Neurospora crassa OR74A: one gene and its partners. The protein of the gene in region 1 purifies or fractionates together with the protein of each later gene. This does not show direct contact. Links are inferred from orthologs where the notes say so. Each region holds a gene or a part of one and is shown in the gene's direction. Other genes may lie near its edges. The genes, in order: rpt-2, NCU07913 and rpn-12.

Region 1 (3,750 bases):
TCTCCAAACTCCACCTACTTCCTAACATCCATCATAAAACAAGGGGACAAAAACGAGAGAAACGTACAGTGACACTGCTGACGTTGGGGTGCCAGATCTTGGTAATAAGATACATCGAGGGCGGCTTGAACGGGTACTTATCCGGAATCTGAATGTCGACCTCGTATGTACCCCCAGCATAGGGCGAGTCTGGAGGGCCGCTGAAGGAGCCCTTGAGGTGCGACAGATTGCTCGAGTCGAGAGGTTCGGCCATGACGCCCGAGGTCTCGCGGTCATTCCATATATCCTGCAATTCCTTCGCAACGCGGCGCTCACGAGTAGTCGCCATGGTCAAGTGATGGGGTGTTGGTGCAGAGGAAGGGAAGTGTATTGCGCCCAAATGGGAATGGGAGTGGGTACAGTATATGGTTTGCTGTTGGACGCAAATAAGATGGTAGGAAGTGGTGTTCAGCGAAATAAGTGAAGTATAACAACGGAGTACTGATAAGATTAACCTTGTGGAGGGGTCAAGGAGGCCCGTGAAATGATGTTGCAAGGTGAGACGGGAGGGTTTCTTCAGTGATGGAGGAGCTGGCAGTGGAACGAACGACAGGACGTTTTAGGTTTTCTTCCGCAACTGATCGAGGATTGGCGAACCGGGCCTGCTTAGGTACCGTAGGTTATTTGTGAATGCAAGGCTGAAAGAGCATTCGCTGACAAGGTGAGATGGTCGTCGTCACTTCCTGTCGAGGGAAAGGAAAGCAAAAAGGCAACTTCAAGAGTCAGGTGGGGAGCAGCGTCCGTAGAGGTACCCAAGAGTGCCAAGAGTCAAATGCTCACATAACCTAATTGGCGAGCGTGGTGTTCTTCCTAGTGTTTTGATCGCCTCAGCCACACCTTGCTTTATTTTTTAGTATAGTACGGGCAAGGTTGAGGACGAATGACCACTGTCGCCCTCCAATGTACACAAAGTTGCGACGGGATAGGATGGAAGCAGGAGGCTCTGGCTGGACTCGTCCCTGGGATGGTCCCCTCCCTTGCCAATGTCGTGGCCATGCGCTGTATGTATGGGAAAACAGTCCGTCATACGGTACAAGTACAAACTTAAAGCTGTGCAGCTTGTCCAGGTATGGTCAGTAGACAGATCGAATGCAAACGCACAGCAAGTGCTAGGAGCGCTCAAACGACATGCAAGGTGCTATTGCCCCCGGCAGCTTAGTAGTCTTGATGGTCTGTGCGTCAGGTGTACGACTGGACGACAGACGGATGAGGTGTGTCGCGTTCACTGGGGGCCTGAACTGGAGCTCGCCATCCCGTCGCAACTGAACCTCAAACGGGCATCCGCCAACAACGAACACCAGCACAACTTAATCGTTTCCATCACTGCCGCTGAGATCAACGAGTTCAGATCGTGCGGCACTTTTGCGACCCCATCATATAATTCTCAGCACCCCTTTGAGTCTTCCACCACACTTTCAAGAATCGCGAAAGGCGGACCGTCAACATGGTCAGTTGCCGCAATACGGAGCTGAGCTCAAGCTTGCAACGCATCGCATACTGACAAGCTGCGCAGGGTCAAAATCAGTCTGGCATGGGCGGAGGCCAGGACCCTTCAAAGTCCAAGAAAGATAAGGTAGGATGGCTTCAGTTGCGTCAAGGTTTCTGTTGTGCGCGGCATGCTTGCTGTCCTGTGAGACTCAGGCGCTGACATCATGGACATCGCTAACCACCATCGCCACCAAAACAGAAAGATAAGCCCAAGTACGAGCCGCCGCCGAAGCCTACCACCCGCATCGGTCGCAAGAAGAAGAGACAAGGCGGTGCCAGCGCTGCCGCCAAGCTCCCCTCAGTGTATCCGACAAGCCGATGCAAACTCCGACTCCTACGAATGCAACGAATCCACGATCATCTACTGCTCGAGGAAGAATATGTCGAAAATCAAGAACGTCTACGCAAGGCGAAGACCGCCAAGGACAGCAATGCTCCTGCGTCCGAGCTCGAGTCTTCCGACCGTATGGCTGACGAGCGCTCCCGTGTCGATGATATGCGTGGCAGCCCCATGGGTGTCGGTGTTCTCGAGGAGTTGATCGACGACGACCACGCCATCGTTTCCAGCACATCGGGGCCCGAGTACTACGTTAGCATCATGAGCTTTGTCGACAAAGACCTTCTGGAGCCCGGCGCCAGCGTCCTGCTACATCACAAGAGTGTCAGCATTGTTGGCGTGCTCACCGACGACACGGATCCGGCCGTCAGCGTCATGAAGCTTGACAAGGCGCCCACGGAGTCGTACGCGGATATTGGTGGCTTGGAACAGCAGATCCAGGAAGTTCGTGAATCAGTTGAGCTTCCATTGCTGCATCCGGAGCTCTACGAAGAAATGGGTATCAAGCCACCCAAGGGTGTCATTCTTTACGGTGCTCCCGGTACCGGTAAGACCCTCCTTGCCAAGGCTGTGGCAAACCAAACTTCGGCAACGTTCTTGCGCATCGTTGGTAGCGAGCTTATCCAAAAGTATCTTGGTGATGGTCCTCGACTGGTCCGCCAGCTTTTCCAGGTATGTAAAAGTGTTTCAAGCTACACTGTCAAATATATACTCTAACATGTTCCTCAGGTTGCCGCCGAGAATGCCCCTTCCATCGTGTTCATCGACGAAATCGATGCCATCGGTACCAAGCGTTACGACTCGACATCGGGCGGCGAACGTGAAATCCAGAGAACCATGTTGGAGCTGCTGAACCAGCTGGATGGTTTCGACGACCGTGGAGACGTCAAGGTCATCATGGCCACCAACAAGATCGAGTCGCTTGACCCTGCTTTAATCCGTCCTGGCCGTATCGACCGCAAGATTCTCTTCGAGAATCCCGACCAGAACACCAAGCGCAAGATCTTCACGCTCCACACCAGCAAGATGTCACTTAACGAGGATGTTGACCTGGAAGAGTTCATCGCCCAGAAGGACGATCTCTCAGGTGCCGACATCAAGGCCATCTGCTCTGAGGCCGGTCTCATGGCCCTCCGTGAGCGCAGAATGCGGGTGCAGATGGCAGACTTCAGAGCTGCTCGTGAAAGAGTTCTGCGCACCAAGCAGGAAGGCGAGCCCGAGGGCTTGTACTTGTAACATAACCGCATATTATCTGGCCTAATTTGCAAGACTTTTCAGATTTGGGCGGATTGCGACTGGGAATGGATTTGACAATTCAGCCTTGTGATGTCGATATCCAGCCATCACTAAGCGTACCTTAGTTTGAGTGAAGATGAAGGGATACCGTAGCGTTTTATCATGGAGAAAGAAGAAACTTTACGGTTGGCTCCTGTAAGGGTATGTTTTCCACGCCTTAAATTGTTGGTTCGTTGATACATTCATTGTGAAGTCCAGCTTCATGTCAGTTGTATCTACGCAAAACGTGAAGCCCACCACTGCCTCTCATCCTACTCATGTAAGCTTGACGCTGCACCTCCTACGTATGCTATCTCTCCCATTGTCACCAGGCGGCATCTAATCTATCCTTCTGCGTGTATCCTTCTCTCTATCTCTATACATTTAACCACCCTTTACTCTCCTGCTTGAACCATCATGGTCCCCATCACATATTCTCCTCCCCTGCTGATCAGCCGCACTCAAAGCCTCCACCAAGCCCATTACCCCCTCCGACCAAACCTTTTTACCATCCTTCGTATCTCGCCCTCGTTCCGGCCAAGGCACACCCCCTTTCGGAATCTCCTTCACCGTGATCCCCTTCCTCCCATAAAACTCCTCATTCGCACCCC
Region 2 (3,750 bases), on another chromosome or scaffold:
ATCCAGCTTGTCCAGGCATTCAGCGCCGGCCGGGACTGGAATCGAGGTTTCCGGCAATGTTCTGCCCCAGCGAGGTATGGTGCCCGTGTGCGATTTGTTCGTTCAGCGCAAGCGGGCGTACCGTGAGCGTGCAGACCTGGACGTGAGGGAACCAGATCGGAAAGTGGGGTTTTATCTAGTTGATCATCGGGGAAGGACTCCAATGGAGGGAGGTCGTCGATGTCTCGAGGTACGGTATGCCTGCCGATATCAAGCAAGTCCCGATCATTGATTCTCTTGACTCGACGAACGGGTGGAGCTTTTTCAATGAGAAGGAGAAATGCGAGTATGATCGGATTAGGTTCGTATGTACCGTAGGTTTGTTGTCAGGTTTTCGTTCTTGGGCTGAGCTGCGGCTTGTTTCTGAAAGGGCTTCGTGGTCAGCAGCGGGGCTGGTCTTTTAAGTATTCGCCCAAGTACGTGAAGGAACTAGTGTAGTAGCATTGCCCCAGAGAAAAGAAAAAAGAGGAAAAGGAAAAAAAGGAACGAGGGGAAAGAGGCGACGAGGCGTCCAAGAGACAGTGCCTTTTCCAAGAGAGACAATCGAAAAAGGGTCCCCGATGCCGTCCGCGGTTTTCACACCTTGTTCCATTCCAAGGTTGCTGCCCTGGAACTTGGGCAAACTGTGGCATAAACTGTCATAAGTCCTTCATTTGATACTGTGTTGTGTCAGTATCCATCCCAAGGTATACTGGAGATAATATCCAATGCAGCCGGCACGTCTAAGCCGCGCTCTTCTGCACACCGTACGGTACAATCTACATCTCAATCGTAGCCCTCTGGGTCTTGCATCATCCAAGAATATGGTCTGGGTTCTAAAGCCGGGTTCCAGCCATGACGGAATGGCCGATTCCCCCCAGATCTCCATATAGTCTCCGGGGTACCTATCATCCATTTCTCTCAACTCGCGAATGGCCAGGGCAAAGGCCAATCGAGTCTCAATGGGACTTCTAGGTCAGATTCGATATAAGCACTGCAGATATCGGCATCCCATGTCGTGTAACCACTTGCTAGAGGTGACATTGGAGTCCCGAACTGGTTCACCGCAATGGCTCAGTTGAGCAGATATGTATGAGGTTCAGTTTGCAACAAGAGGGGAAAAGAGAAAAGAACAAAGGTCTCGGAAGATTGGTTTGATGCCGCACCATAGAGCTACCGGGACAAAGTGTTTGCAACTGAACCAGCAGGAAGTTCTTCTTGTTAGTTGTTTGCCTCTATACCCAAGATTTCCTGGTGGGCTGATTCGCGCTCTACGTGTTGAACTAGAAATCTTAACTGCAGGCAGTATACTGTAGTATGCAAGAAATGGGAAGCCATCTGCAACTGTCAGTGATGGTTCGGACGAACTGCAATGCCTGAACAGTGCAGCGTTGATCTTCCAATATGTACAGACCAGACATCAATGACGATGCCAAACAGAAAGACACACCAAGAGCACAATCACAGCTCAGCGGCGGGGGACATACCAAAGTGGGTCCCAGAGCTTTTTGCCAAGATCTGCGACATGGCCCGTGCTCTTTCTTGCCGCCCCTGGCTCGGCCAGGCCAAGTGCAGTGGGCGGAGGAAGCCGAATTGGCACGTCGTCTCGCTGCCGCCTTGGGTTGGGGGCCCGTCACTCGGCAGCTGCAGTTGACGGAACAAACGACAAGATCACGAGCTGTCACGACTGACGGACCAAAAGCTACTACCTAGAGCTATCAACCACCGCAGCGCCCAACATCTTGCCGCCGCCAAACCGACGATTTCGATTCTCCTCCGTGCGCATAATACCAAACAACAAAACCAAGCGCAATCATCATCACCACGACGTGATTAAAAGTACGCCCGACGAGTTTGCCCGCCTTTCGAACAATTCGTCGATACAATCCATCCGTCTAGCGTCATCAGCTTCAGTCCAGCTGGTCCCATCCCTCTATACCTACACACACAAATCACAACATTCACAATGGCCTCAACACAACCCAAGAACGACGCCAAGTCGACCGAGCCCAAGCCCGAGCAGCCCGTTACCGAGAAGAAGACGGCCGTGTTGGAGGAGGACGACGAGTTTGAGGACTTCCCCGTCGATGGTTAGTCTGCCCGCCATGGCTAAGAAGCACCTTTTGCTGGACGCCGCATCGCATTTCAAACACCACCGCATCACGACCTGCTTCCATATATCATATCATTCAACAACCTCTCTGCCTATACCCTTCATCATTGGCACGGACACTACATACCAAACTTCCTTCAACTTGCGCAACTGCGGAGGCTAGCTCCCCCAGCTGTTGTACCGCACATGTAACTAACAAAATAACCAAAATAGACTGGGAAGCCGAAGACACAGAAGCCGCCAAGGGCAACAACGAGGCCAAGCACCTATGGGAGGAGTCCTGGGACGACGACGACACGAGCGACGACTTTTCCGCCCAGCTAAAGTACGTTTTTTTTGTTTTTTTTTTCCTTTTCTTTTCGTACTCCTTCCTTCCTTCTTCCTTCCCTTTTTACCTGCGTCCCTCCCTCCCTTTCCCTCTCCCTCCTCCTCCTACTCCTTTACTATGAACTTCCACTTCACGTAATTAGCTAGCTTTGCGCTAGGAGTTGGGATTGAAAATCCTAGACCCGGGTTGGCGCGTATTGCGCTGGGCCAGTCAGTCAGGCGTTAAAATGAATCACACCATTTTGGAACTTTATGGAGGAAACAAAAAGCAAAGCCGTATAAAGCGACAGTTGCTGACTTGTCTTTTTCAAACCATTAGGGAGGAGCTCAAGAAGGTTGAGGCTGCCAAGAAGCGGTAATCGGAGGACTTTCGAAGCTTGTACAAAGTATGATATGAGGGGAGGACAGGCGCATCAATACAATGTTGACCAAAGTTTCAGTCCGGGATCTTGCGGTGACATTGCTGTGCGAGGCTTCGATATGCGAGTGAAAGGTGAAGGAGACCCTCCGACTATAAAGAGACAATATCCGGAGACGTACCGACTTGTGTAGTCATTGACACAAGTCATTGGGTATCAACACGGGATTGAGATGATCTGCATAGACTTCGTCTCGAACTTGGTGCATAAACTCGAATAATATCTTGGGATGAACCAGATTCGTCAAGCTTATCCGCACATCACACTTCGAATCATAAAAACTGGACTTTAACTGTTTTGTTCTATTTATCGACTTTGGACTGAGTGCCTATCATAGACTGGCCCTGCTAATCCTTCCAAGGACCCTTTATCATCATATGTTTTTTTGATCCATCAGTCATGATCTCTCATTCAATATCCGAGAGGTTTCATAACATCATTATATCTCCTTCCCAACTCCTTTGAAAGCCAAGGACAAACTTACTGACGCTCGCTAAGAGCAACAACACCAGGGAGAGCCTTGCCCTCAAGGAGCTCAAGAGAAGCACCACCGCCAGTGGAGACGTGGCTGAGCTTGTCCTCAACGCCGTACTTGGCAGCGACGGTAGCGGTGTCACCACCGCCAATGATGACGGTGCGGCCTTCCTCGGCAGCCTTGACGCAAGCGTCGAGGGTGGCCTTGGTGCCCTTGGCGAACTTGTCGAACTCGAAGACACCGGCGGGGCCGTTCCAGAGGATGGTCTGGGACTCGTTGATGGCCTGGGTGAAGAGCTTGACCGACTCCTCGCCGCAGTCGAGACCCATCCAGCCGTCGGGAATGCCGTCCTTGTCTGTGGCGTAGCCAGTGTTGGCGTCCTTGTCGAACTTGTCGGC
Region 3 (3,750 bases), on another chromosome or scaffold:
GCGAATATAACCGTATATTCAACTATATAGAATATAACCTTATTAAGGATCTACGCTACTAAATAATCGTTGTAAATAGCCTCCCGGAATCTAATTTAAACCGAATTTAGAGCAATATCGAATTTAAAGGTTAAATTTAAACTAATATAATTATACTTATTCTATATAATATTAATATTAATTATAGTAATTCAATTCGCAAATAGAAGCGGCTTAATTTTAAGTAATCTAATAATATATATAACGCTCGCGATTATTATAATATTAATAAGAATAAAGTTATTATAAGAATAATTTAAGGACGAATTTAAATTAGGACCGGCAAATATTTTTTAAGGAGGGGGCTCAATAATAGCGGAGATTATATAAATTATTTAAGATTTTCTTACAATTACTATTACTACCCGAAGTAGCTTCGTAATAGCGGGTACTGTTACTAAAAATAATTTTATAATAAAAGGGACTATAGGGGTTGCCCGAAATAGAATATTAGACACTTTAATAAACGAATTAATAAGCAATAAAAATAAAAATAGACAATCTTAGTAGAATAACCGCTTTACCTTCTATACTAATGTAGGCCGGTAAACGGAAGATATTCGTATCTCTTTATCCTTATTATTTTTAATTATATTAATTATTATATTTATAAATAAATCCCCTATATTATCCCCCTCCTTTTTATCCTCCTCCTTATCCTCCTCTTTATCCTCCTCTTTATCTTCCTTATTATTATCCTCTATAAATTCTTATTCTTACTCATCCTCCTTATTATTATCCTCTACAAACTCTTACTCTTACTCATCCTCCTACCCTTATCCATCATCCAAACTAATCCTAAAATAAATATTAAAAATTTTAATCGTCTTTAAGGGAGGGCGCTTAAACTTAAATAGAATAATCCTTAGACTATATTTCGAAGTCGGCGTTAGGGTCTTTAATATAATCTTACAGGAGCTAAACAGCTTAGGCGCAACAATATTCTTCTTAGAAGGCAGCTTCTTTAGGATAAGAGCAGCCTTAGAAGTTAGCTTAGAAGTAGGAACAACAAGGGCAACCTTCTTTACAATCTTAAGAATAACCTTCTTTAGAGTAGGAATAGGTTCGACGGAGGGGGTAATAGCCTTACTTTTACCCTTCGAATTAACAGTAGGAAGCCTTACTTCCTCCAGCTCGGACTTAAAGTCCGCTACTTTATAACTCTTTTTACATTACTATAGAGGGTTCTTCCTTATAAGAGAGGATAATAGAAGTTATAAATCGTTAACAGCTTTACAATCCCGGTCAATATCCACCGCCTAACTAATATAATACTTCCTACCGAACGCTACGACGGCGGCGGCGGTAGCGGCAACCCGGGGGTCGGTCTTCTTAGTAGTAGTACAAAATATAATAAATTACAGCAGGTAATTACGGGCGCACAAGTATAAATAGCTTCGTTGTTAATAGAATTAATTGATTTTGACTATCTACCAGGCTCGCCAGCGACTCGACAGCTAGCCAGATGATGGGGGTGCAAAGAGGGTCTGGCGTTTGGCGGTGGATACGAGGGTCTGGCGTTTGGCGGTGGGAACGTGACGCCCCCAAGACAGCGAGCATCCAACCTTCAGCCTCGACACCAAACTACGTACCTACATCCACTGCCTCGTTTCCCATGACAAGCCATAACTATCAACAAAATCCCGTCGACAAGCCATAAACCATCGCCGGTCTATTTAGTACCACAACAATATCCACTCGGAATCAGAATACACATACGCGACGCATTTACCCAACCATCACATCCACTTGCCGCCCGCGATAGCTTCAACAACCACCTAGAAGCTAAAACAACAAACGAACCTCGACGTGCGGCAACCCCAGATTATCACCACCACAACACCACAACCAGACACCACAACCGCCCAACATGGCAGAACGACAACTCACCCAAATCCTCACCCAACTCCAGACCTCCGCCTCCTCCCTCTCCTACACCGACTCCTCCGCCCTCCTCTCCAAAGCCAAGCTCTTGCTCCTCCAACTCAACGCGCTGACCCCGACCGCGCCCGGCTCCGCTTCCAACCCCTCCCTCTTCTCTCTCGCCCGCCAAGTCTACGAGCAAGGTGCCCTGGCCTCGATCCGCGCCAAGAACCCCGACGCCTTTTTGCGCTACGTCAGCCAGCTCCAAGGGTTCTACGAGCTCGAGAGTACTGTCGGTACCGGTGCCGCTGGTGGCAGGATTGCCGGTGCGGACGCAAACAGGGAGGAGAAGAACAAGGTCACGGGCTTGTATCTGCTGCTGCTGTTGACGCAGGGACAGTATGCCGAGTTCCATAGCGAGCTGGAGGCGCTGAGCACGAGGCTGGGTGGCGCGACGCGCGAGCTGGAGGCGGATAGATATCTCGGGTATCCCATCAAGCTGGAGAGGTGGCTGATGGAGGGGAGCTATGATCGTGTGTGGAAGGCAATGAAGAAGGGCGAGGTTCCTTGTGAGGAGTATGGAGTTTTTTCCGAGGTTCGTGGGTTTTCTTTTATTGCGTCTTGCTTTCTCTACCTTTTCCCCCTAGGTCCTTCTCTCTCGCTCTCCCCCAAGCAACGATATCACGATTAACTATCTGTACCACATCAATCACTAACCACCGCATCTTACTGTCAACAGATCCTCACTTTCCAAATCCGCTCCGAAATCGCCTCCTCCTCCGAGCGCGCCTACCCCTCGCTTCCCATCTCCTCCACCAAGTCGCTCCTCTTCCTCGAGTCCGAGGGCGAAGTGGTCGAGTTCGCCCGCTCCCGCGGCTGGGTACTCAAGGACGGCCACATCTACTTCCCGTCTGCTGAGCCGACGACGGAGGAGGCCGGTGCCGAGCAGGAGAAGCCCTTCAGCCGGTTGATCATTGAGAATACGCTGGGCTATGCTAGGGAGTTGGAGACGATCGTCTAAACAGTAGAAAAACAACAAAGTGGCTGGCCGGTGTGGTATGGGTTGGGTTGGGTTGGTTTATGCAAGCGTTCTTAAACGATGGTCCTTAGAGATCTAGCTACATAGGCAGAACAGAGGCCACGTACAGATACACTACTTAACATTGTGTTCCATGTGTCGCCTATATGTATACAAAAACATGATACATAATATTACGGCTTGCGTCTGGCATGGTATTATCTAACTGACAATTCATGCGACCACGACTTTCTGTTCGGATTATAGCACACGAACTTACTTGGTAGCAGGCAGTAATTGTTATGCAACAGGCGCGTCCAAAATGGTTTTGTCTTTCCTTTTCTCTTCTCCCCTGTTCTTCCTGCAGAAGAAAGCAAGAAACGCGATCATTATACCTACTTTGACTGTACTTTAACTACTACTTTACTTGTCATCAAAACCCCCATCATCGTGTAGCGCCAACCGCATACAAACCCACCCCTTTTAAGCAAACAGCTTCAGGCCACTACCGTGCTTTCCGACCTCGCAAACCTCGCAGACTGTGCACACCGTGCCCTTGTACTTGGTGTGGTACTTGGCTCCGTCAAATGCGCACTCCTCGTAAGGGGTACCGCTGTAGATGGGCGTGAAGCTGGCAGCGCAGATCTCAAACTCGGCAAACTGATCGAACTCGATCTCCACGGCGTCATGGGGGTTGCGCTCGCATTGCGCCTTGGTTCTCTTGGCCTGTTATTTTCAAATATGTCAGTGTCTCTACCAAAGGAGCAAAAGGATAAGGTTATGTAGGTTATCACTTACACTCTCGGTGATCTTGGTGGCTCCTCCGTTGG

The links.
Region 2: the proteins of rpt-2 (region 1) and NCU07913 purify together in Saccharomyces cerevisiae (affinity purification with mass spectrometry; 4 studies listed by BioGRID). This does not show direct contact. The link is inferred for Neurospora crassa OR74A from reciprocal best matches to the Saccharomyces cerevisiae genes RPT2 and SEM1.
Region 3: the proteins of rpt-2 (region 1) and rpn-12 purify together in Saccharomyces cerevisiae (affinity purification with mass spectrometry; 4 studies listed by BioGRID). This does not show direct contact. The link is inferred for Neurospora crassa OR74A from reciprocal best matches to the Saccharomyces cerevisiae genes RPT2 and RPN12.

The regions. Positions count from the first base shown.
Region 1 is NC_026505.1:3,289,681-3,293,430, reverse strand, and holds rpt-2 (26S protease regulatory subunit 4), read left to right. Parts: upstream 1-1,274; 5' UTR 1,275-1,483; coding exon 1,484-1,486; intron 1,487-1,552; coding exon 1,553-1,612; intron 1,613-1,726; coding exon 1,727-2,536; intron 2,537-2,593; coding exon 2,594-3,100; 3' UTR 3,101-3,523; downstream 3,524-3,750. Other genes in the region: NCU01225 (ubiquitin conjugating enzyme), read right to left, coding at 68-328; NCU01223 (hypothetical protein), read right to left, coding at 3,524-3,750. UniProt on the Saccharomyces cerevisiae protein: The 26S proteasome is involved in the ATP-dependent degradation of ubiquitinated proteins. The regulatory (or ATPase) complex confers ATP dependency and substrate specificity to the 26S complex. Has ATPase activity.
Region 2 is NC_026504.1:1,371,882-1,375,631, reverse strand, and holds NCU07913 (hypothetical protein), read left to right. Parts: upstream 1-1,625; 5' UTR 1,626-1,984; coding exon 1,985-2,108; intron 2,109-2,344; coding exon 2,345-2,456; intron 2,457-2,777; coding exon 2,778-2,817; 3' UTR 2,818-3,261; downstream 3,262-3,750. Other genes in the region: NCU07912 (hypothetical protein), read left to right, coding at 57-122, 180-443; pgk (phosphoglycerate kinase), read right to left, coding at 3,358-3,750. UniProt on the Saccharomyces cerevisiae protein: Versatile protein that might stabilize multiple protein complexes involved in diverse pathways. Subunit of the 26S proteasome which plays a role in ubiquitin-dependent proteolysis.
Region 3 is NC_026507.1:2,809,477-2,813,226, forward strand, and holds rpn-12 (26S proteasome non-ATPase regulatory subunit 8), read left to right. Parts: upstream 1-1,554; 5' UTR 1,555-1,909; coding exon 1,910-2,497; intron 2,498-2,641; coding exon 2,642-2,923; 3' UTR 2,924-3,238; downstream 3,239-3,750. Other genes in the region: NCU10066 (coatomer alpha subunit), read right to left, coding at 3,404-3,646, 3,719-3,750. UniProt on the Saccharomyces cerevisiae protein: Acts as a regulatory subunit of the 26S proteasome which is involved in the ATP-dependent degradation of ubiquitinated proteins. Necessary for activation of the CDC28 kinase.